Sus scrofa: one gene and its partners. The protein of the gene in region 3 interacts with the protein of the main gene of each other region in a pairwise test. Links are inferred from orthologs where the notes say so. Each region holds a gene or a part of one and is shown on either strand. Other genes may lie near its edges.

Region 1 (3,500 bases), on a different chromosome or scaffold from region 3:
GGGGTAAGCGGGTCCCTGGCGCGGCCTGCAGTGAGTGGCCCTGGGACCTGCAGCTCCCACGCAGCTTAGCGGAGTTCTCAAAGTTACATTTTATGGTGTTTTCACATCCACGGTTGATTTTCTGGCGAAGTGACTTATTCGTCAGTTTAGAGGCTGGTTTTTTCTTTGGCAGCACCATGGCCAGCCCGAGAACCAGGAAGGTTCTTAAGGAGATTCGGGTGCAAGATGGAAACAACGTAAGCATCCCCCTGTCGTTGACGCGCCCACCCGCCCTTCTCTTCCTCCCTCCCTCTCTCTTCCTCCCTCCCTCTCTCTCCCTCTCTCTCTCCCTCCCTCTCCCTCTCCCTCTCCCTCTCCCCCTCCCCCTCCCCCTCTCCCCCTCCCTCCCTCCCTCTCTCTCTCTCTCTCTCTCTCTCTCTCTCTCTCTCTCTCTCTCTTTCTTTCTCTCTCGGTGCTTGTGGCCACCGCGTCCTCCTGCTGGTCTCACCGCCCGCCTCCCCCGCTCCCTCCCCCGGGCGCCCAGGCTCTCTGGGGTCCCGGACCTGCCCCTGCCCCACCTGCCCCAGCCGCCTGTGCGCTCTTCGCAGGTGTGTTTCGAGTGCGGCGCCTTTAACCCTCAGTGGGTGAGCGTGAGCTACGGCATCTGGATCTGCCTGGAGTGCTCGGGGAGGCACCGCGGGCTCGGGGTGCACCTCAGGTCAGTGCCCTCCTTTCCTGCCCTCGGGCCGCGGGCTTCCGGAGCTGTGACCAGGGCCTCCCCCGGGCGTGCGGGCCAGGAAATCGCAGGCTGGCCCCTCCTGCCCTCAGGCGCTCTATCTCAGGAGGCGGGAGGCCCGCCAGTCTGGTCCCAGACTGGGGTGGGCTCTTAAATCCTGGTGAGCGGGGAGGCTCCCGGGTGGGTGGGTGCTGGGTGCTCAGTACGGTGACAGGTGGCCCCTCGGTCTGCAGCTTCGTCCGTTCTGTCACCATGGACAAGTGGAAGGACGCGGAGCTGGAGAAGATGAAAGCGGGCGGGAACGCCAAGTTCCAGGAGTTCCTGGAGTCCCAGGAGGACTACGACCCCGGCTGGTCCCTGCAGGAGAAGTACAACAGCAAGGCCGCCGCCCTGTTTCGGGACAAGGTGCGGACCAGCTGCCCCGCTCATCAGGGCCTTTGTGGTTCTGGGAGCCGAGCTCCCGAGGGCCCTGCCTCACCTTGTGCAGTACGTCCGCGGGCAGGACAGATGGGGCTCCCTGCGGCCTGGGGTGCACTGCGTCCATGTGGGTGAACGCTCCTGACAACAGCAGCACCCGCTGGGGGCGCCTGTCAGGGAGGGGCCCCGGTGGTTGGGGTTGGAGCCACGTGGACCAGCACATTGCTCGGGCCCCGGGCATCCTGAGACCTGGTCTCTGCGGTGTTTGCGCCCGGCCTGTGGCTGCAGGGGTTGGGTGCTGCTCGTGGGCGAACGCTGGCCTTGGCGGCTCCCGGCCTCTAACCTGGGCCCCCCCGGCAGGTGGCCACTGTGGCCGAAGGCGGAGAATGGTCCCTGGAGTCCTCGCCCGCCCGGAACTGGACCCCGCCTCGGCCCAAGATGCTGCCAACCTGTGCCCACGGGTAGCTGCTCTTCTGGCCTGCTGGCCAGCTCTGCCCGGGTCAGCCCAGTACTGACCACTGTGGCTCAGGGAACCTGGGGTCGTGGTGACAGCTCCTGGCGTGAGCGATTTGTAAAAGTCGGCAGGAAAAGCACCTTTTTAAGTTACAGCTTGAATGTGTCGTAAAGACCCAGTTAGTGAGGGCACATCTGGCAGGCAGTGGTGACCTGGTCCGCACTGTGAGTCCCTGTGGTCTGGGCCCACAGCGCTCGGCTGCTCTCGTCCCCTGTCCTGTCTGAGGGCCACCTGCCTCTCTGGCGGCCTGGAGGCGGGTGTTCCCGGGAGACTGATTTTGGAGAAGGCGCCCGCGGGCCTCCCCTCCCCTGCCTTTCTTGGGCGGGTTTCCCGTCGGAAGGTCTCCAGACTGCTGCCACGTGCTTGCTTTGGCCTCTGCCCCTCCGATGCCCCTGCTGCCTCCCTGCAGGTGTGGGCCGGGCGCTGTGGAGGAGGCCGCCCTCCACTCTGAGCTTTGTTTTCGGAGGAGCCAGCTGTGACCAGAGACCCCCGGCCTCCCGCAGGCACGACGGCTTCACTGACCTCTGCCTTCCTGTTGCAGGGCCACTGGCCGGCCACAGAACTCCACCGCCAGCTCCGACAAGGCTTTCGAGGACTGGCTGAACGATGATCTTGGCTCCTATCAAGGGTAAGACTCAGGTGGGCTTGGGAGAGGCGGGGACCGGCCCTGGAAGGCTTGGCCTGCGGGCTGGGCTGCTCTGCAGGTCTAGGCACGTGTGCAGTGGCTGCAGAGTGGGCGGCCTCGAAGGGTCCTGACTGGCAAGCCCTGGAGCAGCCCACGTTGCAGGAGGAGGCTTGAGCGGAGAGAAAACCTCTAAGAGGAAATCTCTCCTAAGAACGCCTGGAAGGAGGGATGAGGGAGCTCCTGTTGCGGCTCAGCAGGTTAAGAACCCAGCTGGGATCCATGAGGACGTGGGATCGATCCCTGGCCTCGCTCAGTGGGTTAAGGATCCGGCGTTGTCATGAGCTGTGTAGGTAGGTCACAGACAGCTCGGATCCCATGTAGCCGGCAGCTACAGCTCCAATTAGACTCCTAGTCTGGGAACCTCCAAATGCCACGGGTGTGGCCCTAAAAAGCAAAAAGTAAGGAGACCTTACGGGACCTGCGTGACCCATAGGTGGGTGAGCCTGGAGCCGCCACTTGAACTCGGTCGCTTGGCGCATTGGCTCTGAGGCTCGCTGCTTCTCCGGCAGGTGCAGCCCCTCGTCCGGAACCCGCGCCGGGGGTGTGGCTGCCCCGGTGCAGCCCTGAACGTTCTCGGGCCCCCGGGGGCCAGCCTCTCGGAGCCTCCGTTTTGGGCTCGGGGCGGATCTGCACCCCACGGTTTTGGGGCAGCGCGGCTGTTGCTTGTGTCCCCTCCAGGGCGCCGGAGAACCGCTACGTGGGGTTTGGGAACACGGTGCCGCCTCAGAAGAAGGAAGATGACTTTCTCAACAGCGCCATGTCGTCCTTGTACTCGGTGAGGGCACCCGGCCGGCCCCCGGGGCCTGCTCTTGGCGCTCACGTCCTTCAGCCCTTTGGCGCCAGAGCGCCTTCTGACTCGGGAAGGTCGGGAAGGCGCGCTCCTCCGCCGGCTGAGGCCGCCCTCGTGGTGGAGGCGTCGCTCTGCCGCCGGCCTGTAGGGCCACGGTCTTGGTGGCAGAGGTGACGAGCTGGAGAGCTCCAGCCTCGGCCGCTCCGGGTCCAACCGTCGTTTTCAGGGGCACTTCCAGGGCCTTGTCCACTGTAGGGAGGACGCAGAGCCCGAGGGCCCGGCCGGGAGCTCCGGGGGCTCGCTGGACGCTCTGAGACCCGATGGGGTCCTGGCCGCCGAGTGGGCAGGGCCAGTGCAGGGCATGGGGGGCCTCGAAGGA
Region 2 (4,136 bases), on a different chromosome or scaffold from region 3:
TTCCCACTCCAAACTCTGCTCTGGCTTTTTCTTTGCATACTCAAATTCATCAAGGTGCTCAGCAGACATACATACACACACAAAGCAAACAACCAACAACCAGTTTACTTTCTTTTTTTTTTTTTTTTTTTGTCTTTTTGTCATTTCTTGGGCCGCTCCCCTGGCACATGGACGTTCCCAGGCTAGGGGTCGAATCAGAGCTGTAGCCACCGGCCTACACCAGAGCCACAGCAACGCGGGATCCGAGCTGCGTCTGCGACCTACACCCCAGCTCACAGCAACACCAGATCCTTAACCCACTGAGCAAGGCCAGGGATCGAACCCACAACCTCATGGTTCTTACTCAGATTCGTTAACCACTGCGCCATGACGGGAATTCCCAGTTTACTTTCTTAAGATCCACCCTCAATAGCTGTGATTTTCCCCCCATGGTTATGAAATTTTTTTCTAAGGTTTCCTAGTTAGTAGTGGTATAGTATACTCAGGTGGTATAGTATACTTCATATTCTATCGGTTTTAAATCTCTTGGGAAAGTGTATAGCTTGAGTTTAAAAGAGTTACCATGTTTTTGCAGGTACTTCATTATGATGTAAAGGAAATTAACATTAATGGAAAGACTACTATATGTGACACATTGTTGCTTTAGGTGTCATTTATTCATTACAAATTTATTGAACACCTATTTGGTACACACTTTCACTTAACACACTTACTATACCCCGCCTTCCAGCTTTTCCATCCATTAGACACTTGGACTGTCCTTGGGAGCTTAGTGACCACGGCCAAAAACTCCAACCAAATTTGTTTAAATTTATGGTCTAATTGGAGTATTTAATCACCATTTCTACGAGCATACAAAGATCACCTTGTGAAAAAGTTCAGGCCTCTCGTTTAGTTTTTGTAAGACTAGAATTTTGGTTAACGTTTTATATGCATACATAATATGATTTTTAGGATCGTGTTCATTCTTCCCTTACCAGAGGCGAAACTTTTAGCCAGAATTAGAGGAAATTGAAATTCCTTTTCTTGTAAGCCCTACATCTCCAATTAGAAGAGGAAGAGACGTAGCTCAGGCGTTAAAAGCAGCCATGCTTCCTCCGCAGCAAAACCCACGATGCGAGTAACACCAGGGTAACAGATCTAAGCCCGAGAAATACAGAGCGCAGGGGATGGGCGGGCCAGCTCGCCTCAGCTCAGCGTAGCCTGGTCCGTACCCATACTGCCCATCTAAAACATCCGCCTCAGCCCTCCTCCGCCCTCCCATACCCTCTCACAGGCGGTGACCGGGATGGGAAGGAACTAGCAGTGAGAGCGCGCGCGCGCAGCCCCGCCCCTGCGTGACGTCAGAGCAGCGACGCGTCGTAACGCAGTGCAAATTGGGAAAAGGGGATGAGCTGGTCTGGCTTCCGTCGGGTTAGCGATTCTTCCTCGGTTTGGTGGGAGATGGGCCTTTGGCAAGGCGGCTGGCATTTGTGAAGCGCGCCGTGCGCCAAGGTGAGTGAGGGGTTGGATCCTGGTTTTTATTCCTCCGGAAGCTCTTCTCAGTGAACCCCCTTCCACCAGCTGCTGGTCACCCGGGAGACAACCCCTGTCTTCGGAGAAGGGTGGGACAGCTCGAACGTAGAATCCGCATTTGGAGGAAGGGCCCTACCCTGAGTCTTTGCTGGTGCCCACCTAGAGTTGCCCAGCGAGTTTCGTGTGGGCTCAGGTTTTCCGGTCTTAGAAGGTGGCCTTGACCATTCTTCCACCTTCTTGAACGCTCAGTCCGACTTTGACCTCGTCCCTCTTGCCTCTGTTTTCAGATTTTCTGCTGTTGGGCTATCTTCCCAGGCCTTAATACAACCTTCTAGAGTGTTTTCCAGTCCTTCCTCTGATCCTGTCAAACTTGGTTTTAGTGAATTCCAAGTAGGAGTTTAAAGAATCAATGAGCTCATCAAAACTAAAACTGCGACTCCCCAAGTAAAATCTTTTCTTTCCTAAAATGTGGCCTCTCTACTAGAGGTGTGAAACAAGTTAATTTCACCTCCACTCCACCTTGGAAAATACCAGAACCCAGAATTTAGACAGAAAGCTGCAGACCACACTTTTGGGTTTGTTTCTTACCTCCAGTACATTTTGTGACCTTGAAGCAAATCACTTAATCACTAAAAAAAATTTACCTGAAGACAGAGGTGTTGCAGAGCCTAAGGAATTTAATATTTGTTAAAGAGCTCTGAGGGTTTCAGATGTAGGCGATGCCGAACTGAGGATTTTACTTTTTCTGCATCTGCGAGCATCTTAATTTTTGAATACTTCCTACTGGAGCCATGAAAAATGTCAAGTGATTTTTGTTAAGGAAGTGTTCCTCTTCTAGGCTTGCTCTGTAGCTTTGCTGTGTAAGCAGATTTTGTATTTCAACAGATTCTGTTTGATTCATTGTTCAATGTCTTTCATGATGAATTTAGATAGTTTCTCAGACCCCAGAGTACTGGATCAGTTTATCTGAAAGGTGCCGTAGCTTGTGCTATGTCTTTATCATGTTGAAATGTGTATTCCTTTTCTTGTGACACATTAGATGCATCTTTTAAATTAGATAGTAAGGATTGTATAGTAAAAGACAACAACAACCTGTCATTAATGATATAAATATACATTAATTGCACACAAGTATTCATTGTAGTCTTTGAGAAAACAGAAAAACAAAAATACTTTAAAGATATCTTTCTAGAATTTAATTTTTTAATGTATTTACTTGAACTTTATCAATCATTATGGTCTTTATTAATGTGAATATAATGGGAAAGAACCAATATGGCTTTTGTAAAGTAAGAGTTAGCACATCAGATTTTTTTCCCATAAAATGTCTAGCACTATATTTTATTATGAACTTTTCTTCATGAAGATATACTTGGTTTTGTAGAGATGAAAGGGGGAGAAGTGTTCATCAAATATGAGCTGCTAATAAAATTAGATATTATTGAGTCTTTAAAAACAAATCTTGGTTATTGTCCCCACTGCCTATTACTGTATACCAAATCACTCTAAAACAAAGTGGCTTAAAACTACAGTTTATTCTCATGTTTCTGTGGGCTGAGTGGACTCACCTGGTTGGTTCTTAGTTAGGGTTTCATGTATTCGTCGTCAGGTACACAGCTAGGGTTGGAGTCATCTGAAAGCTCACCTGGGCTGCACATCCTAGATGGTTTATTCGCATGGATGGCAGTTGATACTGTCTGAGAGTTCAGCTGGAGATGTCAGTTGGAGTGCATGCACCAGTCTCTTTATGCATCTTTGACATGTCAAAGCATGGAGGATGAGTTCTAAAAGCAAGTATTTGAAGAGTCGGAAAGTGGAAGCTTTCTCTTAAAGCCTTTTAAAGCCTGGACCAGAATTTGGCACAGCATTACTTCTAACATACTCATTTGGTTAGAGCAGTAAGAGCCTTCCCCTTTGACCCTCTACCTTTTGAAGGGGAAAATGCCAAAGAATTTGTGGCCATATTTAGCATACCATAATTTTGTTGAAAAAGTTGTTTTAAACTAATGTTTGGATTTAACAGTAGATGAAGAATAAGTTACAGTTTTGATTTCTTTAGTCATTTCAGTGTACATTACAATTTTCAGAGCACTTTTCCATATGTATATTTTTTCATTTGATGCTTTTGAAAACTCTTTAGAAGCAGATGGATTTTTCCTGTTTTGCAGATGAAAATAAACTGGGGAATGGCAGTGGTGGTGTTGGGAGGATTTAAGGAATTTACCCAAAGTCACATGACAAAGAGTAGAAAATGGGACTAAGACCTATAATACTTTCATGATATAAAATTTATTAGTAGTAAATGATGAAATATTAAACTTATTTGCAATTATATATTTATAATCATACTAATTCCAGTAACACAGTACTTATGTATAGTGAATAAAGTTAGGGTTAAGATAGCTAAATCCGGGCTCTTCCAACACATTAGTTTAGTCTTTTATAATACTGAATTCTCTGAAATGTACCAGTAATGATGTGGACTTGCATATCTTTTTTTTAAGTTGAAGAACAGTTGATTTATAGTGTTTCAGGTGTACTGCACAGTGTTTCAGTACATATATGTGTGTGTATATACATATGCTTATTTATATGTGTTTCAGTATATGTATATATACGTG
Region 3 (4,241 bases):
TGATTTACAAAGTGGTGATACTTTCTGCTGTACAGCACAGTGATTCAGTTCTACGTGTACACACATTCCATTCCCTTTCAGATGCTTTTCCCAGCATGTATTTTTCAAAACTGTTTTAAGGGAACACTCAAGAGCTGAGCCTATCGCTGTTTATAAATCTTACTTAAAATTGAGAAAAGACCATTGAAATAGTATTGTTTATTTTAAAAGATTTATATTTTATGGATGCAGGGTTAAATATTTACAGATGAAAAGACATATATAATTCTTGGGATTTAGTAAAAATTGGGGGAAGGAGTAGTGATAAATATAGGGAATAGACAAGAATGCAGATGCACGTGGTTGACTGCATTAGAAAACAATGGAAGGAGTTCCCGTCGTGGCGCAGTGGTTAACGAATCCGACTAGGAACCATGAGGTTGCAGGTTCGGTCCCTGCCCTTGCTCAGTGGGTTAACGATCCTGCGTTGCCGTGAGCTGTGGTGTAGGTTGCAGACGCGGCTCGGATCCCGCGTTGCTGTGGCTCTGGCGTAGGCCGGTGGCTACAGCTCCGATTCAACCCCTAGCCTGGGAACCTCCATATGCCACGGGAGCGGCCCAAGAAATAGCAACAACAACAATAACAACAACAACAACAACAAAAAAAAAAAAAAAGAAGAAAGAAAACAGTGGAAGCTGGGTGATATTCCATGGAGAGTCCTTTATTCTATTTTTGTTTTTGTTTTGCTTTTTAGGGGTGCACCCGCAGTATATGGAAGTTCCCAGGCCAGGGGTGGCTGGACCTGTAGCTACTGGCCTATACTACTACTACAGCCACAGCAACACCAGATCCCAGCCCTATCCCTGACCCACACTGCAGCTCATGGCAATGCAGGATCCTGAACCCATTAAGTGAGGCTGGGGATGGAACCCGCATCCCCACGGATACTAGTTGGGTTTGTCACTGCTGAGCCACAACAGGAATTCCTATTCTCTCCATTCTTGTATGTTTGAACATTTCCCATAATAAAAAGTTGAAAAGAGAGGGATCATCTTGGTTCCTCTCCCTTTACAAGAGAAAACTGAACATAACTTGTATTGGCTCTCAAAGCCAAAAAGCAAACCAACTTCCAAGTTTCCTTCCAAGTTCCCCAGGAAACAAAATAGGAGCGTTTTTAGAAAGCCTACTTTTTAAAAGGGCCGACCATCAGTGCAAGGAGTAGGTTAAGCAATATATATACTTGCTTCCCATCTCTTTGGGTTTCAAACTGTTGTTTTTGTAGATTTAAATTACTTTTTACTCACATTCCAGAATGTGAGTCCAAGGATCAGAGAAATTCCCCCCCACACACACACAAATAAACACAAGACAAGCAAAAAAAAAAAAAAAAATCTGCAAAGACCTGTTTTTTCCCCTTCCAGTTCTAAAAGCATCCTCCTATTCCAGGCAAAGCAAGCAGAGGCAGTCTGTTAGGGGGAGGAGCTTGGTTCTCCATTCCGGTGTGATCCAGGAACAGCTGTTTTCCCTCCAGCTCTGAAAGGTGAAACTGTGTCAAGCAATGCAAAAATTGTCTTGAAGCTCGTGCATGTGTATGTCTGTGTGTCTGTGTGTGGGATGGGGTAGCCTGTCAGCCCCGAGGACAACGTGAATCAGTAGTCGGAAAGGTGAGTGGTATGTGGAATCTCTCTTTTCAGAAGGGGCCCATGAAATTGGATATGACGGTTCAGGAGACTCAGTCACTCTGGATTTATCTCTTCCATCCAGGAACAGGAATCTGGAAAGTAAATCCCATTCTGAGAACAAAACGCCTTACAGCCGCTGGGTTTCGACGGCTGGGGAATATTTATTCCTTGATCCACTGATGGGAAAAATCAGCGTCTGGCAGCCGCTGATTGGTGGAAAGAAAATGGTGATAGTGGGGTGGGAAGAGGATTTGACGAGCCTCCTCCTGCCTCCTCAACCTGTAACTCATCCTTACTAGTCGCCTCTCCACCTGCCGGACCACTTCGGGCTCAGGAGAGGTTAAGAACAAACGTTAAATCCGGAGAATAGTTAAACAAAAGCTTCGTTAACATTGTGTCCTAAGGACCCTTCATCCAATTTCAGTGATGCGAGGGAAACCTGCGCTTGGTCCTGATGCGGGTACCTTCCGAAGCTACCTGTCTCCTTTAGCAGCTCCCCGAAAGACTGGCGCTATTTTGGTGGTAGAGCCCTCAGACCCCACTTCCCCGGGCTGGCTCATGACGTGGGGGTCCGCAGGAAAAACCGGGGGGAAAGGCGGAGACTGGGAAGGAGGGGGGATGGGGAGAGAGAAACAGACATCAGACATCAGCCCAAGCCTCAGAGCTCCGGATCGCCGCCAGAGCCCGGGCGCCCCTGAACTTGAGGTGAACCGCCCAACACCCCACCTTCCAGTCTCCCAAGCCCAGGCGGGCGGCTGGCGTTGGAGGTACAGCCTCCCACCACCCCCATCCGAGAAGAGGAGTGAAGTGCACGCGGCGGGGAAAGCAACGCGCGCAGGGAGCGGGGCGGGGAGCGGCGCTGACAAATCCGCTGCGGGGGCGGGGAGCGGAGGAGAAGGAGGAGGAAGACGAGGAGAAGGACCGAGACCACTAGAAGGGGACCCAGGAGAGGGGGCGAGAGACAGAGCGCAGCGACGTGGGGGTGAGGTGTGTGCTGGCTTTGGAGCAGACCCGGGGACCGCGCCTTGCCTTTGGCAGCCTTGGCGCTCTTTCGCCGCCTTCCCTTCCTCCCTTCTTCTGCCTGGAATCCTCTCGTGCGGGGGACGGGGAGTGGCGATTCGACGACAGGTTCGCGGGTTCCCTCCCACGCCCCCAGCCTCTCCCCCCAGGGTTGTGCCGACAGCCGCCTCCGCTGAGGGCCATCCCTCTCCTGGTGCCGCCTCCACCCTTCCTGTGCGCTCCTATCCTCCTCCCTCCCATTTAAATAATATTTAGGAATTGTTTTTAAAATTTTTTAAGTGGGTGCGGGGAGGATCGGAGTTCTCAGGAGCCAAGGGAATCAGGTAAGTACCTGTGAATCTAAGTGGGCAGCTTGGGAAATCTTGGAGAAAACCTGGTGGGAGAAGAGTCATTGCGGCGCCTGGGGGGGGGGGGGGGTTAGTGCTGCGGTGAGGACCTGCCATAGTCGAGTCTCTCTTAGAGGTGGGCACTGACCCCTTTGGTGAGCTTGAGGAAAGTAAATTGACTCGGCTTACCTCTCTTCTCGTCCTCAAAGGCTGAGCGGTCTGGATTCTCCGGGATACGCTTTTCCTTTGGGAAAGTCGAGGATGCTCGAAGGATTATAACTATTCAACTTTTATTTCTTACTTTCCTTAAATCCCCCAGCCCACCCTCTCTGTTCTCTCTGTAAAGTAAGCAAGCTGTATTGGGCAAGCCTTTAAATGGAAGCGCAGAGAGAGCAAGTCAACAGGTGGGAAGGGGTTAACAGGTGCTGGGCGCCGGGTGGGTGGCGGGTTCAGCGGGCTAACTCCACCTCTGGCAGCTGGCGCGCATCCGGAGACTGCCTGCAGGTGTGAACGCTCCTGCTTGCCTGCTCAGGGTAGACAGCTGAAGGTGGGGTACAGCGTCCAGTGGGTGAGAGCCACTGCAGGTGGGCTTGCAGTTGGCCTGGGGTTCAGCCACACCCAGAGTGAGTGGTTCTCTTCCCACCCCTCTTCCTGATCAACCTGTTAGCTGTTTGGGGGATTTATTTTGAGTATCTCTGACCCCCCCTCCTCCAGCTCCTTTTTCCGTTTCCTGTGATCTGTCTTCTAAACGCACTTCTAACTTAACACCTTCATCGTTTGGACCCTGGGAAATTGAAAGGGGGGAGGGGGTAAGTCCTTTCATGTAACTCCACTTGGAATGCGGTGAGAACAACTCAGATGATTCATCCCAATCCATGTTTAGGAGGCTAGACTTCCACCAAACAAGATGGATGGGAGATGCTAAATTTTTAATGCAAAAGCTAAAAAAAGGCTGCTTTGTCCAGTGGTTGAAACAGAGGTACACCTACAAGAGTCCTGCATTTTTTTTGGGGGGGGGCGGGGGAGTCTACTGATCTTTCAGTGATTTTTACCTTGGGTGGTTCTAATTTCGTTTTGTTTTACCCCAAAGTTCTCAAAGTGTATTTTGTGTTCTCCAGTGTGGTGTAAAGGAATTCATTAGCCATGGATGTATTCATGAAAGGACTTTCAAAAGCCAAGGAGGGAGTCGTGGCTGCTGCTGAAAAAACCAAACAGGGTGTGGCAGAAGCAGCGG
Region 4 (2,575 bases), on a different chromosome or scaffold from region 3:
CTTGGGCTCAACTCCAAACTCCAGACCACGCGTGGTCCAACTCTCGCTCATCCCACACCCTCAACTCCTTTCTCCCTTCCTCTTGTCATGCTTCTCCGGCCACCTGGCTTCCTGTCAGTCCCCTGCCCCTGGCCATCCCTTTCCCACCCCAGGTTCTGAAGCTGTCTGACCTTGGACAAAACTCTTTCCCACTTTGCACCTATTTTCTCAACAGTAAAATGGGTTGGTTTTTCCCACCCGAGGGTCAGGAGGGAGGGCAGCCCTTAACCCTTTTTCTGGCCAAGAGAGGTCACAGACAGCTACTGTTTCTCAAATCACCAAAGCCACTGCATGCAGACAGCCCCCCTTCGGCCCACCCACCCTCAGCACAGTTTGAGGCCTCAAACCACATGTTCCCTTTCTCTCCTGTCTCCCTGCAGGACACTTTTGTGGAACTCTACGGAAACAATGCAGCAGCTGAGAGCCGGAAGGGCCAGGAGCGCTTCAACCGATGGTTCCTGACGGGCATGACTCTAGCTGGGGTGGTTCTGCTGGGTTCGCTCTTCAGTCGGAAATGACCAGACACTGACCACCTACTCACCTTCTCACACCCCCCCCCGCCCCCACCACGTCCCTCCGTCCAGCCACCATTGCCACCAGGAGAACCACTACGTGCAGCCCACCGCTACCCACCCCTCACAGGGTTGGGCCTAACCTGGTCCCCTGCAGTTAGTTTCTAGAATCTACCATGCTTCTGTGAGAGCCGCCTTCCCCAACACCTCAGTTCTCCTGGCCTCAAAACCCACAAAGTTTCCCCCAAATCTGCCCCATGGAAGCTGGCAGGTGCCAGGGTGGTGGAGGGATTGTGGCAGGGGCCAGAATTCCCTGCCTAATAGGTGGAGCCCCTCCCCCAGCCTCCCAGAGAATGCTCTCCTGCCCAGGACACAGAGAGCTTTCTGACCCTTTTCCCCAGAAAAAGAGACTAGATTGCCTTCGTTTTGATGTTTGTGGCCTCAGAATTGATCATTTCCTGTCTTCCCCCTCCCGGACCTGGGCTCCCCTTCCTTTCATGCCCACCCTCCAAGAGCTACTTAGGGCCACTTCTGACTAATTACGGATTCAGGCTGCTTGGGAGAAAGTAAAAAGGACCAGGACCCTCTCCCCACCTCTGGCCTGGCCAAAGTCCCTACCCCCAAATCCCAGTGTCCACTAGAGGCCTCTGGCTAGAGGTCAGCCCCACCTGGGATGGAGGGGGCTGTAGCTGCAGGAAGCACCCCACGCCAAAGCTCGGGTGGCCCTCGCGGTTTAGCACCACCTCCGCTCCCTTCCCCTTCCTCTTCCCCAGCTCCCATGACCATGACTGAGGGACCAACTGGGCCCTAGACAGGTGCCCCAGAGCTGTTTATGGCCTCAGCTGCCTCACTTCCTGCAAGGAGATCAGCCTGTGGCATCTTTGCCTTGGGCTGCTGCCCATGGGGGTCAGGAGCCTCAGCCAGAGGTGAGGGGAGCTACAGGGAGCAGCTGTGGGAGCCCTAGGGTCTTCCCTACCTCAGGCAAGAAGGGCAGGAAGGAGAGCCTCATGCTGCCGTGAAGGGAGGGCTGCTGGAGGGGCCAGACCTGCCTGCCTGGCCCAAACGATTTGTGCACCACCCTCGTTCAGCCTGGGCAGCCGGGCTGCCGAGGTCAGAGTGGCCTGGCCAGGAGCTCTTCAGGCCTCCTTCTCTCCTCTGCTCCACCCATGGCCTGTCTCATCCCTGGGGGTCCCGGCCTAGCCCCGGCCACCCCGGGCTCTCTGCTGTACATATTTGAGACTAGTTTTTATTCCTTGTGAAGATGATATACTATTTTTGTTAAGCGTGTCTGTATTTATGTGTGAGGAGCTGCTGGCTTGCTGTGCGTGTGCACGTGGAGAGCTGGTGCCCGGAGGTCAAACAGCCTGATGCTCCCTCCCCTGCCCTGGTCCGGGGAAGCCAGCCGGGGGTCCTGGCTCCTGAGGGACACCTGTCCCTCCCCCAACCCCCACCCCACACTTGTTCCAGCTCTTTGAAATAGTCTGTGTGAAGGTGAAAGTGCAGTTCAGTAATAAACTGTGTTGATTCAGTGAACAAAGGGCCCAGGCTTCAGTGTGCTGCGGGACGGGGCCAGCGGGGGGGTGGGGGTGGGGGCTGCTTGGCTGGCAGAGAGGCTGCCAGGGAGGGCAGTGGGGACAGCCAGATGAATATAAGGATGGTGCCAGCTGTTGCAGGGCAGAGGAGGCAACAGGGTGACCCTGAGGAATCATGGCAAGACATAAAGGACCTAATGGGGAAGGAGGTAAGAAGGGGTCAGATTTGAGATAACGTTTTAAAGATAATGCCCCAAGACTGGCTGCTGGATCAGTGAGAGCGCTAGAGAGGTGATTTGAGATTTGGGAATAGGGGTATGATTATAATTACAAAGCGAAGCACATGTCTGAGACCAGTACAACCCAAAAGGCTCGTAACGAGTGTCCAACAGCATTTCACACAGAACCTGAGCTTGTCTGGGATTCAGGGAGGGCTCCCTGGAGGAAGTGACATCAGAGCCAGGGCCTGAACAGGCAGGCTATAAGAATTAT
Region 5 (3,500 bases), on a different chromosome or scaffold from region 3:
CCACAAGCTCAGCAAGCTTCTGACCCCTCGGCCACCCTGCCCCGTCCACCAGACCAGACCCCAGGCCAGGAGTCCGGGCAGCGCCCCCCACCCCCACAGTTCTCCAACCCTCCTGGGGCCCCAGGGCTCGTCCTCAGAGCCTCCTCTCCACCTAAAACCCCATTTCCTCCCGCCCCTCCCTGCCTCCTGGCTTCACATCTGCAGCCCAGACCCCCAGCTCCCACCTTGCGGAGGCCCCTTCCTGCCCTGAGGCCCCTCACACACGGCCCCCCACCGGTCCGCTGCCCTGTCACCCTCCCCGTGGTGGCCCGGGTGGGCGCCCGGCACACAGGGGATCGCAGGCGCCAGGAAGCGCCGGATTCTAACCAAACCGCCCACCGCAAAGCTTTAAGTGGAGACGCCCGGCCACAGACGCTCCAAGTTATCGATTACGTGGTTTTCTCTCCCCGCCACACACAAAAAAAGAAGAGGCTAGGAGAAAAAGGCAACTGTATTTTAAAGTACATTAATGAGATTCTCGTCGCGGGTGTTCACGTTTTCTCGGAGGCCGAACACGGAGGGGCCGGCAGCGGTCACAGCCGCCCCCACAGGCGGAGCAGCCCGGCCGGCAGAGCAATGCAAACATCTTTCAGTTTTCCAGGAAACAGCAGGAGCTGCGGTGCCCCCCGAGGTGCGTGAGCGCGGGCGACGGGGCAGCGGCTTCCGCAGATGGGCTGCAGTTCTCAGAAGCATGGTGCAGCGACGATGAGGGACGACACGCTGCGGGGGCGGCGTGGGGTCAGAACTCCTCGTGCACGCTGCGGGCGTAGTCCACCAGCTTGCTGCCCGTGAAGAACTCGCTGTACTTGAGCACCTCCTCAGGCTCCAGGTAGTGGTTCTGGTTCTCGTCGGCGACGGCGATCATCTGCTTGGCCTCGTTGAGGGCACTGAACTCGTTCATGGGGTCCATGTAGTCCTGCAAGGGCCCCGCCAGCGTCTCCCCTGCCCTCGGCCTGGCGCCCAGCCACGCCGCCAGACCCCCGGGACGTGCGGCCGCCCCCAGGCGCTCGGCACCCCAGCCCCGGAGGCAGGCCAGCCTCACGTGCGACCCCGTGGGCTGGGGGACAGGGCAGGGCAGTGGGCGGTTCCAGAACGTCCAGGAGGCTCGGCCTGGCAGCCCTCCCCACCGGGTGGGGGGGATTGGGGGGGGCGCCTCCCCGGCCTCCTCAGGGGGCCACCCAGATCCCAGATGTGGACACAGCCGGGTCTCGGGCTCACAGGAAGGAGCGCCAGCCCTGGGCCCCGCCAGCCCTGGGCCCCGCCAGCCTTGGGCAGGGATCAGAGAATTCCGCGTAGAGTGAAATGACTCAGCAGCAAAATGGGAAAAAACAAGCCCCACGCAGCACCTACACGCGATACCAGTGAACACACCTCAGAGGCAGGTGGCAAGCCAGCCCACGCCCGTGCCCCTCGTGCCCAAGCGTCTGGACAGAGGGCCCAGCGGGCAGCCGCTCCTGAGCCTACGAGGCTGCCTGACCCAGGCACCCGACCCGGGGCCGGGCACCGACACTGTGCCCTAACGCCCTGCAGCAGGCACATGCCCACCACTTCCACGGGCTCAACCGGCCCCAGGCACCCCAGCCACAGGACGAGCCACGACCTGAACCATGAGGCCTTCCTGGCTCAGGCTGGGGCTCCCCGCCACGGTCCCCTGCTCACCTCCAGCTCCGCCATGGTCACGATCCCGTCGTGGTCGGCATCAATCAGTTCCTCAAACTCCCTCCTCCTGTCCCTCACCCAGCCGTCGTCAATGTCCTGGCCTTGCTGGTTCTCCACGGTGCCCGCGGGCAGAGAGATGAACTCGGGCAGCGAGAGCCTCTTGTCACCATCCTGGTCTGCAGGACAAGGGGCAAACCCTCAAGACTCCAGTGGACACAGGAGCGCCAGGCCCCTCGGGAGAAAAGTCAACCGCCCGGGTTTTGCAGCCAGGCCTCCAGTTTGTGAGGGTTCAGTCCGACCCGAACAGGTGTGTCTCGCAGGACCTGCGGCCGGATGGCATCGGCCAGGGCCGGGCCTGCCCTCGTCGGGCGGCCGCGCGGCCTTCCGGGGCCACCGCAGCCCAGGACTGGCCGCGCTGACCTCTGCCGGGAGGACCAGCGGGGGCGGGGGGGCCTCACCCAGGTCCCGGATGATCTCCTTGGCCATGAACTGGAGCATGCCACGGCTGTGCTCGGGGTGCAGGAAGGACAGGAACTCCTTCTCGGTCAGCAGCAGGTCCGGGGGGGGACTGTCCGCCTGATACCAGCGGTCTTTGAGGTTCTCCAGGACTTCCTGTGCTGAGAGGCGCGCCTCCGTGAGGATCTGGGCATGCGGAAGCCCGGCAGCCTCCGTGCGCCAGGCCGAGGCCCTGCCCTCGGGAGGGGAGCTCGGCCCCCCGAAGGCAGAGGCGCAACCGGCCCAGACACAGGCCCAGCCCCTGGCAGCCTTGCTCCCAGCGGGGTGGAACGTCTCTGCAGGGACAAGGGCACGACTCGGGCCTGCCCTTCGTCCCGTGCACCCTCCACGGGCAGGGCGGGGAAACCCCGTTTCCACGATGCCCCTGCCCCTCCCTCCATGGGAAGGCCGCGTGGGGCGTGGGGGGGTCCTGGGGCCGGTGACCACCCGGGGCCCCGCTGCAGCTTTCTGCTGGGAGCAGGGACGCCCGAGTCACAACAGGGGATCCCACACAAGGCCTGCAACCTCGACCCCACTGCCTCCAACAGACAGCAGATCCCGTGGCACAACTTTCAGGAGTAAATCCACCTCAGGCAGGTGGGAGCGGCTGGTTGTTCCCTGCCTGTCCGACCAGGGGGACGGAGCGGCGGACAGGCACAGGTTGGCCACGTCTACCTGGAGCCTGGGCATGGGTCCTGATGTGGAGATGGGATCTTTGCAGCTGTGACTAATCATCCTGAGGTGAGGTTGCCTGGGATCTCAGCTGGGCCCTCACCCAGATCTCCTTGGCTAGGAGGACACAGAGGCTGGAGAGGAGTGGCCACCAGCAGAGACGCTGGCAGCACTAGAAGCTGCAGGGGGGGACACCTGGCAGGGATCCTTCTGCAGGGCGCTATGCTGCAGCCCCAAGGACCCGCGCGTGACGGGTGACCTCAAGCTCAGCTCTCACCCTCCCGCCATGCTCTCCGGGCCTCTGGGACCCTTGACAGCTGCTCCTCACCTCTGAGCCCCCAGACCTGCTCACCTCACAAACTGAGAAGGGAGCAAGGGACTCATGAACAGACAGGAGGGGAGACGAGGGCTGGGCGGGCACACTGAACGCAGGGCGTGGGTTTCCAACTCACCGGCTCCGTGTCCCAGCCCCACACCCCCCAAGGAAAAGGGTGCTGAAGACAGACAAGCGGGGCCAGGTGGACGGCAGCTGCCCAAGAAGCCAGCATCCAATCACCGCTGGCAGGAAGCGGACGGGGCCCAGTCTTCGGAAGCCTCTAAAGGGCCCTTAAGTGAGTTCCCGCTGGGGGCAGCAG
Region 6 (2,453 bases), on a different chromosome or scaffold from region 3:
AGCTTGTTGTAAGGGTTAGAATTTGGGAGTCCTAAAGAGATGGGGAGAGAGGAATGACACTGGGGCTCAGAGCACCTGAGGACTGCTTGTGGTCAGTGGGGGATCCTTGTCCCAAAGCCATCCTGCCTCAGCTGTGCTCTCTTCTATAAACATTTTTCAAGTTGTAAGTGGAGGTGCTTCTGCTGAGATTTCCCCCCCCCCTCCCAGCCGACCTCTGGCCACACCTCTCTGGCCACTGGGACCTCGTTGCACAATGGAGCAGCTCCGCCTCTGGGCCTTTGCACCCAGGATCTCACACTAGCTCCTTGTTTCCTCCAAGACCCACTTTGCAAGCTGGTAGCACCACTATGCTGGGATTTAAACCCAAGTCCCGTCACGACTGGGCTGCCACTCTGTCGTTCGCAAAAGGCTACAAAACTTTGAAACGTCACCTGGAGGCCGAGAGGGGAAGCATCCACACCTGTGGCCGTTCCTCCCCGCACAGTGGGCACGGGACAGTGCTGCAGGGGACACAGTGTCTTGTGGGTGGTGTCTCTGCTGGAGGATGAACACATCGCTTCCATTTTGTTCTCGGAAGGGGACCTGGTATCTCCTGCTTCTTCAAGGGCAGGTGACTGTAGACAGGTCGTGTGTAGCTGGGCTGGCTCCCTGTAGGACCTGTGGGATTTGGCTTCACTTGGAGGTCTCTGAGCCCCTCCAGCACCTCATTACAACTGCGTGACACGTGTGCGGCCAAAGCCCCGCTGTCAGCCCCGGAGCCCCCTTTATGTGTGATAACGCTGCGTGCGTCACCTGTGTTGGTGGCAATAGGCTAGTGTCTGTGATGGGACGACCCAAACTTAAGCAACAGAATCCCAGCTGACAGCAGCCTCTGTGCCTGAGACACTGGCCATGAGCTTGGCTCTGCTCAGAGTCAGCAGCCTTGGGACAGCTTCACCCACCGCTGGCTTACGGGTCTGCCCCCCACCCCACCTCATTCTCTCTGCAGTAGGCTTCCTCCTTCCCTCCTTAGGAGTAGGGAGAGGGGCAGCCCCAGTCACGAATAGCTGCTCAAGAACCCTCAAGAAGCCAGGCCTTCTCTCCCCTGAATATTCCAGAATCCCAGCAAGGCTCTGATTGGCCAGGCCCAGGTCATGTGCCCACCACATGGTTGGGGGAGTGAAGGGGAGAGTCCTTCCCCAGAGGAAGGGAGGGGGGCTTTTATACAAAGAGGAGAAGGGATGCTGAGCCCACAAAACGCAGAGGTATCTGCCCATCTGCCATTTTCTGAATATTTACCTGTCAGGTTTGTGTCGAGCCTGGAGAACACAGGGCCCAGAGAGGGTGAGGGCCCTCTCCAAAGGCACACAGCTTGGAAGTGGCAGTGCCAGTATTTGAACTCATGATGGTCCTAAGACCTAGTACCGCATCTTCTCTCACATGGGGTCTCACAAGTGGTTCACGACAGGGCTGGCGCCGAAACCCACTGCGGGGTCCTTCTCCCTTAACCACAGCTGTTGCCGGCGGGAAGCAGGAGGGGAGGGGCCCACTTTCTCCAAAGCCATTGGGTTCCCAGGCACTGGCTGTGCCGTTGCTGCAGGAGAATGACAGCCAGCGTCTGCTCTGTGTGCAGGAAACTACAACCTCACGAGCGTGCTGCCCACGGCTCCCGACATGGCCCAGTTTAAGCAGGGGGTGAGATCCGTTGCTGGAAAGCTCTCCGTGTTTGCTAACGGTGTCATGACTTCAATTCAGGTTAGTGAAACTGGGATGACATTAACTGAGCATGATGGTGGGTTTGTAGCTTCGAAAATGAGATTTGGACTACTCTTCAATTGCTAGAAAATTAGATTTTGTATTATTGATTTATATGTTTGCTGCAGTGTAACCCAGGACATCATGGAAACCAGAAATTATAATTTCATATTTGTTTAAATTTTCTAATTTACGACCTAGAGGAATTGTTACTGGAATTGTCATGATCATTATCTACTTTTTTCCTATCTTGAAATAGAAATATTGGGAAGGAAATAAAAATTACCCACAATGTCACCTCACAGGGAAAACTTCCATTAATATTTTGGTTGATGTAATTTTATTTATTTACTTATTTACTTATTTTTGTCCATGCCTGTGGCATGCAGAAGCTCCCAGGCCAGGGATCAGAACCTATGCCACAGCAGTGACAATGCCAAATCCTTAACTGCTAGGCTACCGGGGAACTCGATGATTTTATTTTAACTCCAGATTTCTGTGGATATCCGTTTAAAATTTTAAAGGGATTATGTTGAATAGGTGGTTTCATAGCCCCTTTTTCTTCATGCTGTTGTGTTATGAGCACTTGTGTCTAATTAAAAATTCTTCAGGAGTTCCTGTCGTGGCGCAGTGGTTAACGAATCCGACTAGGAACCATGAGGTTGCGGGTTCGGTCCCTGGCCTTGCTCAGTGGGTTAAGGATCCGGCATTGCCGTGAG
Region 7 (3,926 bases), on a different chromosome or scaffold from region 3:
TGTTAGGTTGAGGAGTCACAGGTTCCATTTAAGAACTAGTAAAAACTATAAATTTCCCCAGAAAAATCTACATACATAAATCTTGCACGTGATTTCTGGGGATTTACGAACATCCCCCCTCCTCCCTCAAGTTCACCCATTGGCACCAGATTAAGATCTCCTGGAGTAGATGATTTTGTAGGTCTCTTTTAGCGTTTCTCAAAATGTAGTCTGGGGACTTTTGGAATCAGAATCCCTTGAGGCCCTTGTTAAAAAACAAAACAAAACAAAACCAGATTCCTAGGACGGCCACAAACCTACTGTTTCAGAATCTCTGGGGACTGAGTTTGAAGATTCTGTATGTTATTAAAAAATCCCTGGGTGATTCTATGCAAACTAACATTTGAGAATCAGTGCTTTATCCCAACTGAGATTTTTATGGTTTTTAAATGCTTTCATTTGTTGAATATTTTAGGTTTCACCTGTTCAACTGTCAACTATACCAAATGGTACATTTAGTATGAACTCTAAGAAGATTTACATGTTTATAGGCAGAGGAGAAACATCTGAAGAAAGAGCAGTGTCTGTGCAGTAGGAATAAGAATGGTTTTTTTTCCCCTTTGTTCTTCTACTTTATTTCTCTTCTTCCTCATTTTCTTTCTTTCTATATTTAAAAAAGACTCTTCCTCTTTCTGAGTTTAGTTTCCCCATCTAAAAGACAGAGTGTTGTAACCAGGTGAACCTCAAGGCCAAGCTCTACTCTGGCGCTCAGTGACTCCATATTACCCTTGTCCTTTTAATGGTGTGAACTACATGGACAACAGTGTTTGGAGAATAATCATGTATTTTTTTTTTAGGTATGACGTTTCGATGCCTAGCAACCGTCTTTACTCCAGCAAAAGTATTGCTTTCTTTCTCTGGGAGTCGGAACTGAAATAATCTCTACCATCTGCAGCCCCCGAAAGTTCATCCCCTCTCCTTAACCTTAGAAAAGGCCGTCCGCGCACTTCTCTTAGGAGCGTAAGAATGAGTGTGAACCAAAAAGCCAGGGCGTGGTCGCCCCGCCCACCGGGCACCGCATCACCACCCCTCTGGCCCCCTTCACGTGCGGAGATTGGCTGAAGGCAAGAAAGAGCCCCGCCCCTGGTCTTATGACCCGCTCTGAAGAGCCGACGAGTCCTCGCTTTTGCAGCGTTGTGGTCGGTGGTCAGCGGCGCTCTTGCCCGGGTTCTGGGAGCCTTTTCCCTGGTGTTGCTGCTCTTGCCGCCGCCGCCGCCTGCTCTGCGGGATCATGGTGTGCTTCCGCCTCTCCCCGGTTCCGGGCTCCGGGCTCCTTATGCTCTGCCTCGTCCTGGGTGAGTTGTCGGGCCCTCCTGCTTAGTCCCTGAGCCTGGGCCGGGGGCGCCTAGTTCAAAGGCCACAGCCTGCAAGACTGGTCCAGGAGGAGCGGTTTGAGAGGCTAGACGACTGACACTGGGCGTTGGCGCTTGGCCCGAGGTGACGAGCAGTGACCTAGAGAAGGCCCGACCGAGGGATGGCGGGGGAGAAGGGCCCACAAGAGTAAGAAGGGGCAAGTAAGGTGGACGCCGAGGTAGTAGGTAGGGAAGAGGGAGGAGTGGAGCAGATCGGGGTGGAACGAGTAACTTGGGGAAGATAACTAAGGAGTGAGGAGCGGAGGAGGGCGGTACTTGCAGATTCTGGGGGTGGCACATACAATTAGGAGAGCCCTGGTTCTAGAATTGGCGAAGAGTTTTGAAGATGGTGGAAAACTATGGGGCGCGAGAGAAAACTGCAGAGGGAAGAGACTGCCTGCGTGGAGGAGATTGGGGGGAGGGCGAGGGCAGACAGGAGCAGATTCTGAGGATAGTGAGAGGTTGGGTTGGAGCGGGTGGGGGTAGGAATTTGAGGCCGTGGAGCAAGGGTAATTAAAGAGATGAGGGATGATGCTGGATTGGCGTCTGGTACTTGGAGTTTTGAGGTGGAAGGAGTCTAAGGTGGCTGGGGCAAATTCCAAGCGAGAAAACTAGGACCCAATAGTCTGGAGTCTAAAGGGATGAGTAGGAACTTGGGTGGGGAGTGAATGTCTGACTTGGAGGTGCTGAGGTCGTTGGTTTTCTACCAGTTTTGTTACTTCCTCCCAGCTAGACTCTGACAAAGAAGTACCCAGATGTTGAGGTTTTAGGGGTGGTGTGGCTGAGTCTTGTATGTACTGCTTTTTTTGCCTTTAGAAGCTCCCTTTCTTCCCCCTCACACAGCTGGTCTCTTACCACATTTTGAGAGGAGGAGGGTAGGTACCTTCCTAGGGGTTGGGTTGTTATCAGGTCCTAAGAATGGTTGGCTGAATGTTGGCTGACGGTGCTGTGCACACCCCACCCCCGCCGGCCCCAAGCATTGGGTCCCCTGAGGCCTTTTATGCCTGAAAGGTGAACTTTGACCAGAATGTCTCTTCCTGTGACCTGATAAATCCAGTGCTGATTGCTACCACTGATTCTTGCTGTTTGTGGCCTAATAAAAGGAGGAACAGACCCAGATGGGAGTGGAGATATATTAGGGGCCTGAGAAGGCAGCGAAAGGTACATGTTTTGGAATTTACATTTCAGTAGAATAAAATGAACACCCTGGAAGAATGGTGGATTCTCAACCAGGGGACTTTTGGCAATATCTGGGTACATTTTTGGTTGTCACAGCTGGGGATTGCTTCTGGCATCTATCTAGTGGGAAGAGGCCAGGAGTGCTTCTAAACATCCCGCAATGCACAGGACAGCACTCCTCCCCCAACAAGAGAATTATCCACCTTAAAATGTCAATAGTGCCAAAGATGGAAAATCTGGCTCCAGAGCTTATAGCTTTGGAAGGGGTCTTGATGATCTAATCTAGTGATTCTCAAGGATCTTTTTGGAGGTTGGGAGAGGGAGGCTCTCTGTCAGCTCAAAACTGTTTCCAGAATAATACTAAAACATCCGTCTTTCTCACTCTCGTCCTCTCATTGGTACAGTGGAGTATTCCAGAGGCTATACAATGTGTGATGACATCACCACTGTGATGGCTCTGGTGTGTTTTACTCACTTCCCGGTTTTAATTTCTAGTACGGCAAATACCAGTAGATGTAACCCACACAAACCAAAGTTCTTTCGAGGTCGTCAGTGGATAGAAAGTAAAGGGGTCCCGATGCCAAAACACTGGGGAGTCCACCTTGGCACACGGTGCTTGCAGGAAACGTCCGTGGCCCTTCTGACCGCCCCCCTCCCGGCCCCCCCAGACCTTGCTGAAACACTCCCCTGTGAAGCACTTACTGAGGGCCAGGCGCCCCTAAGAGAGGATTGTTGACAACGAAAAGCACCTTATCAGTGCCTAGAACACGTCTGACCAAGGCATCTGGTAGTCAGTAGTTCACTGCCAATTGGATCTGCACAAACAACACTGTAATTGTTTAGAGAAAGTGAAAAAAATAATCATTGTCTTGCTGGCTTTCATGTCATTAATTTTTTTAAATGAAAGCTTTTTTTGTTTTGTTTTTACAAAAGCAGTGCTGGCTCATTGCAGAAAATAAACAGGCAAAAAAGAAGCACATGAAAGAACCCATCAGCTCATCTGCTAGTTTGCCATTTATTGATTGGGGACTAACTAGATTCCTTCTCTTGGAAGATTTCCAAGATAGATTCCCTCCTCTTTCAAGTTCAGGATAGGATTTGGAGAAGTAAAAGTTAATAACGTACGCAGGTCAGGTTTTTTCAAAAGTACCAGGATGAAATAGAAAGTACTTTTTCTCTGCAGCTGCTTTTGCTGTCATCTTTTGGTTCAGTGTGGAGCTCAAACTCCTTCCGTATGTGTTTTTTTTTTTTTTTTTCCCTTAAGAATTTAGCAGTTCTTCAGTTCCTTGGTGGGTTTTGCACATTACTTTTATATATCCAAATGAATACCAGGAATAGTTTTTTTTTTGAAAACTC

What was found.
Region 1: the proteins of SNCA (region 3) and ARFGAP1 interact in binary tests that used the Homo sapiens proteins (3 or more experiments, as listed by UniProt). The link is inferred for Sus scrofa from reciprocal best matches to the Homo sapiens genes SNCA and ARFGAP1.
Region 2: the proteins of SNCA (region 3) and USP8 interact in a two-hybrid assay, tested with the Homo sapiens proteins (2 studies listed by BioGRID, with this or other methods). The link is inferred for Sus scrofa from reciprocal best matches to the Homo sapiens genes SNCA and USP8.
Region 4: the proteins of SNCA (region 3) and BCL2L1 interact in binary tests that used the Homo sapiens proteins (3 or more experiments, as listed by UniProt). The link is inferred for Sus scrofa from reciprocal best matches to the Homo sapiens genes SNCA and BCL2L1.
Region 5: the proteins of SNCA (region 3) and SDF4 interact in a two-hybrid assay, tested with the Homo sapiens proteins (2 studies listed by BioGRID and IntAct). The link is inferred for Sus scrofa from reciprocal best matches to the Homo sapiens genes SNCA and SDF4.
Region 6: the proteins of SNCA (region 3) and ARFGAP3 interact in binary tests that used the Homo sapiens proteins (3 or more experiments, as listed by UniProt). The link is inferred for Sus scrofa from reciprocal best matches to the Homo sapiens genes SNCA and ARFGAP3.
Region 7: the proteins of SNCA (region 3) and LAMP2 interact in binary tests that used the Homo sapiens proteins (3 or more experiments, as listed by UniProt). The link is inferred for Sus scrofa from reciprocal best matches to the Homo sapiens genes SNCA and LAMP2.

What each region holds. Positions count from the first base shown.
Region 1 is NC_010459.5:62,383,072-62,386,571, forward strand, and holds part of ARFGAP1 (ADP-ribosylation factor GTPase-activating protein 1), read left to right. Parts: intron 1-172; 5' UTR 173-176; coding exon 177-236; intron 237-587; coding exon 588-697; intron 698-948; coding exon 949-1,120; intron 1,121-1,492; coding exon 1,493-1,593; intron 1,594-2,187; coding exon 2,188-2,274; intron 2,275-3,009; coding exon 3,010-3,106; intron 3,107-3,500. UniProt on the Homo sapiens protein: GTPase-activating protein (GAP) for the ADP ribosylation factor 1 (ARF1). Involved in membrane trafficking and /or vesicle transport.
Region 2 is NC_010443.5:121,373,355-121,377,490, reverse strand, and holds the start of USP8 (ubiquitin carboxyl-terminal hydrolase 8), read left to right. Parts: upstream 1-1,336; 5' UTR 1,337-1,494; intron 1,495-4,136. UniProt on the Homo sapiens protein: Hydrolase that can remove conjugated ubiquitin from proteins and therefore plays an important regulatory role at the level of protein turnover by preventing degradation. Converts both 'Lys-48' an 'Lys-63'-linked ubiquitin chains.
Region 3 is NC_010450.4:129,246,283-129,250,523, forward strand, and holds the start of SNCA (alpha-synuclein), read left to right. Parts: upstream 1-1,441; 5' UTR 1,442-1,519; exon of another isoform or gene 1,520-1,643; intron 1,644-2,276; exon of another isoform or gene 2,277-3,004; intron 3,005-3,121; exon of another isoform or gene 3,122-3,143; intron 3,144-3,492; exon of another isoform or gene 3,493-3,816; intron 3,817-3,893; exon of another isoform or gene 3,894-3,986; intron 3,987-4,125; 5' UTR 4,126-4,150; coding exon 4,151-4,241. UniProt on the Homo sapiens protein: Neuronal protein that plays several roles in synaptic activity such as regulation of synaptic vesicle trafficking and subsequent neurotransmitter release.
Region 4 is NC_010459.5:35,365,648-35,368,222, reverse strand, and holds the end of BCL2L1 (bcl-2-like protein 1), read left to right. Parts: intron 1-419; coding exon 420-557; 3' UTR 558-2,075; downstream 2,076-2,575. UniProt on the Homo sapiens protein: Potent inhibitor of cell death. Inhibits activation of caspases. Appears to regulate cell death by blocking the voltage-dependent anion channel (VDAC) by binding to it and preventing the release of the caspase activator, CYC1, from the mitochondrial membrane.
Region 5 is NC_010448.4:63,529,381-63,532,880, forward strand, and holds the end of SDF4 (45 kDa calcium-binding protein), read right to left. Parts: intron 2,316-3,500; coding exon 2,157-2,315; intron 1,875-2,156; coding exon 1,699-1,874; intron 956-1,698; coding exon 779-955; 3' UTR 473-778; downstream 1-472. UniProt on the Homo sapiens protein: May regulate calcium-dependent activities in the endoplasmic reticulum lumen or post-ER compartment. Isoform 5 may be involved in the exocytosis of zymogens by pancreatic acini.
Region 6 is NC_010447.5:6,046,137-6,048,589, forward strand, and holds part of ARFGAP3 (ADP-ribosylation factor GTPase-activating protein 3), read left to right. Parts: intron 1-1,612; coding exon 1,613-1,734; intron 1,735-2,453.
Region 7 is NC_010461.5:98,621,140-98,625,065, reverse strand, and holds the start of LAMP2 (lysosome-associated membrane glycoprotein 2 isoform 1 precursor), read left to right. Parts: upstream 1-1,126; 5' UTR 1,127-1,270; coding exon 1,271-1,334; intron 1,335-3,926. UniProt on the Homo sapiens protein: Lysosomal membrane glycoprotein which plays an important role in lysosome biogenesis, lysosomal pH regulation and autophagy.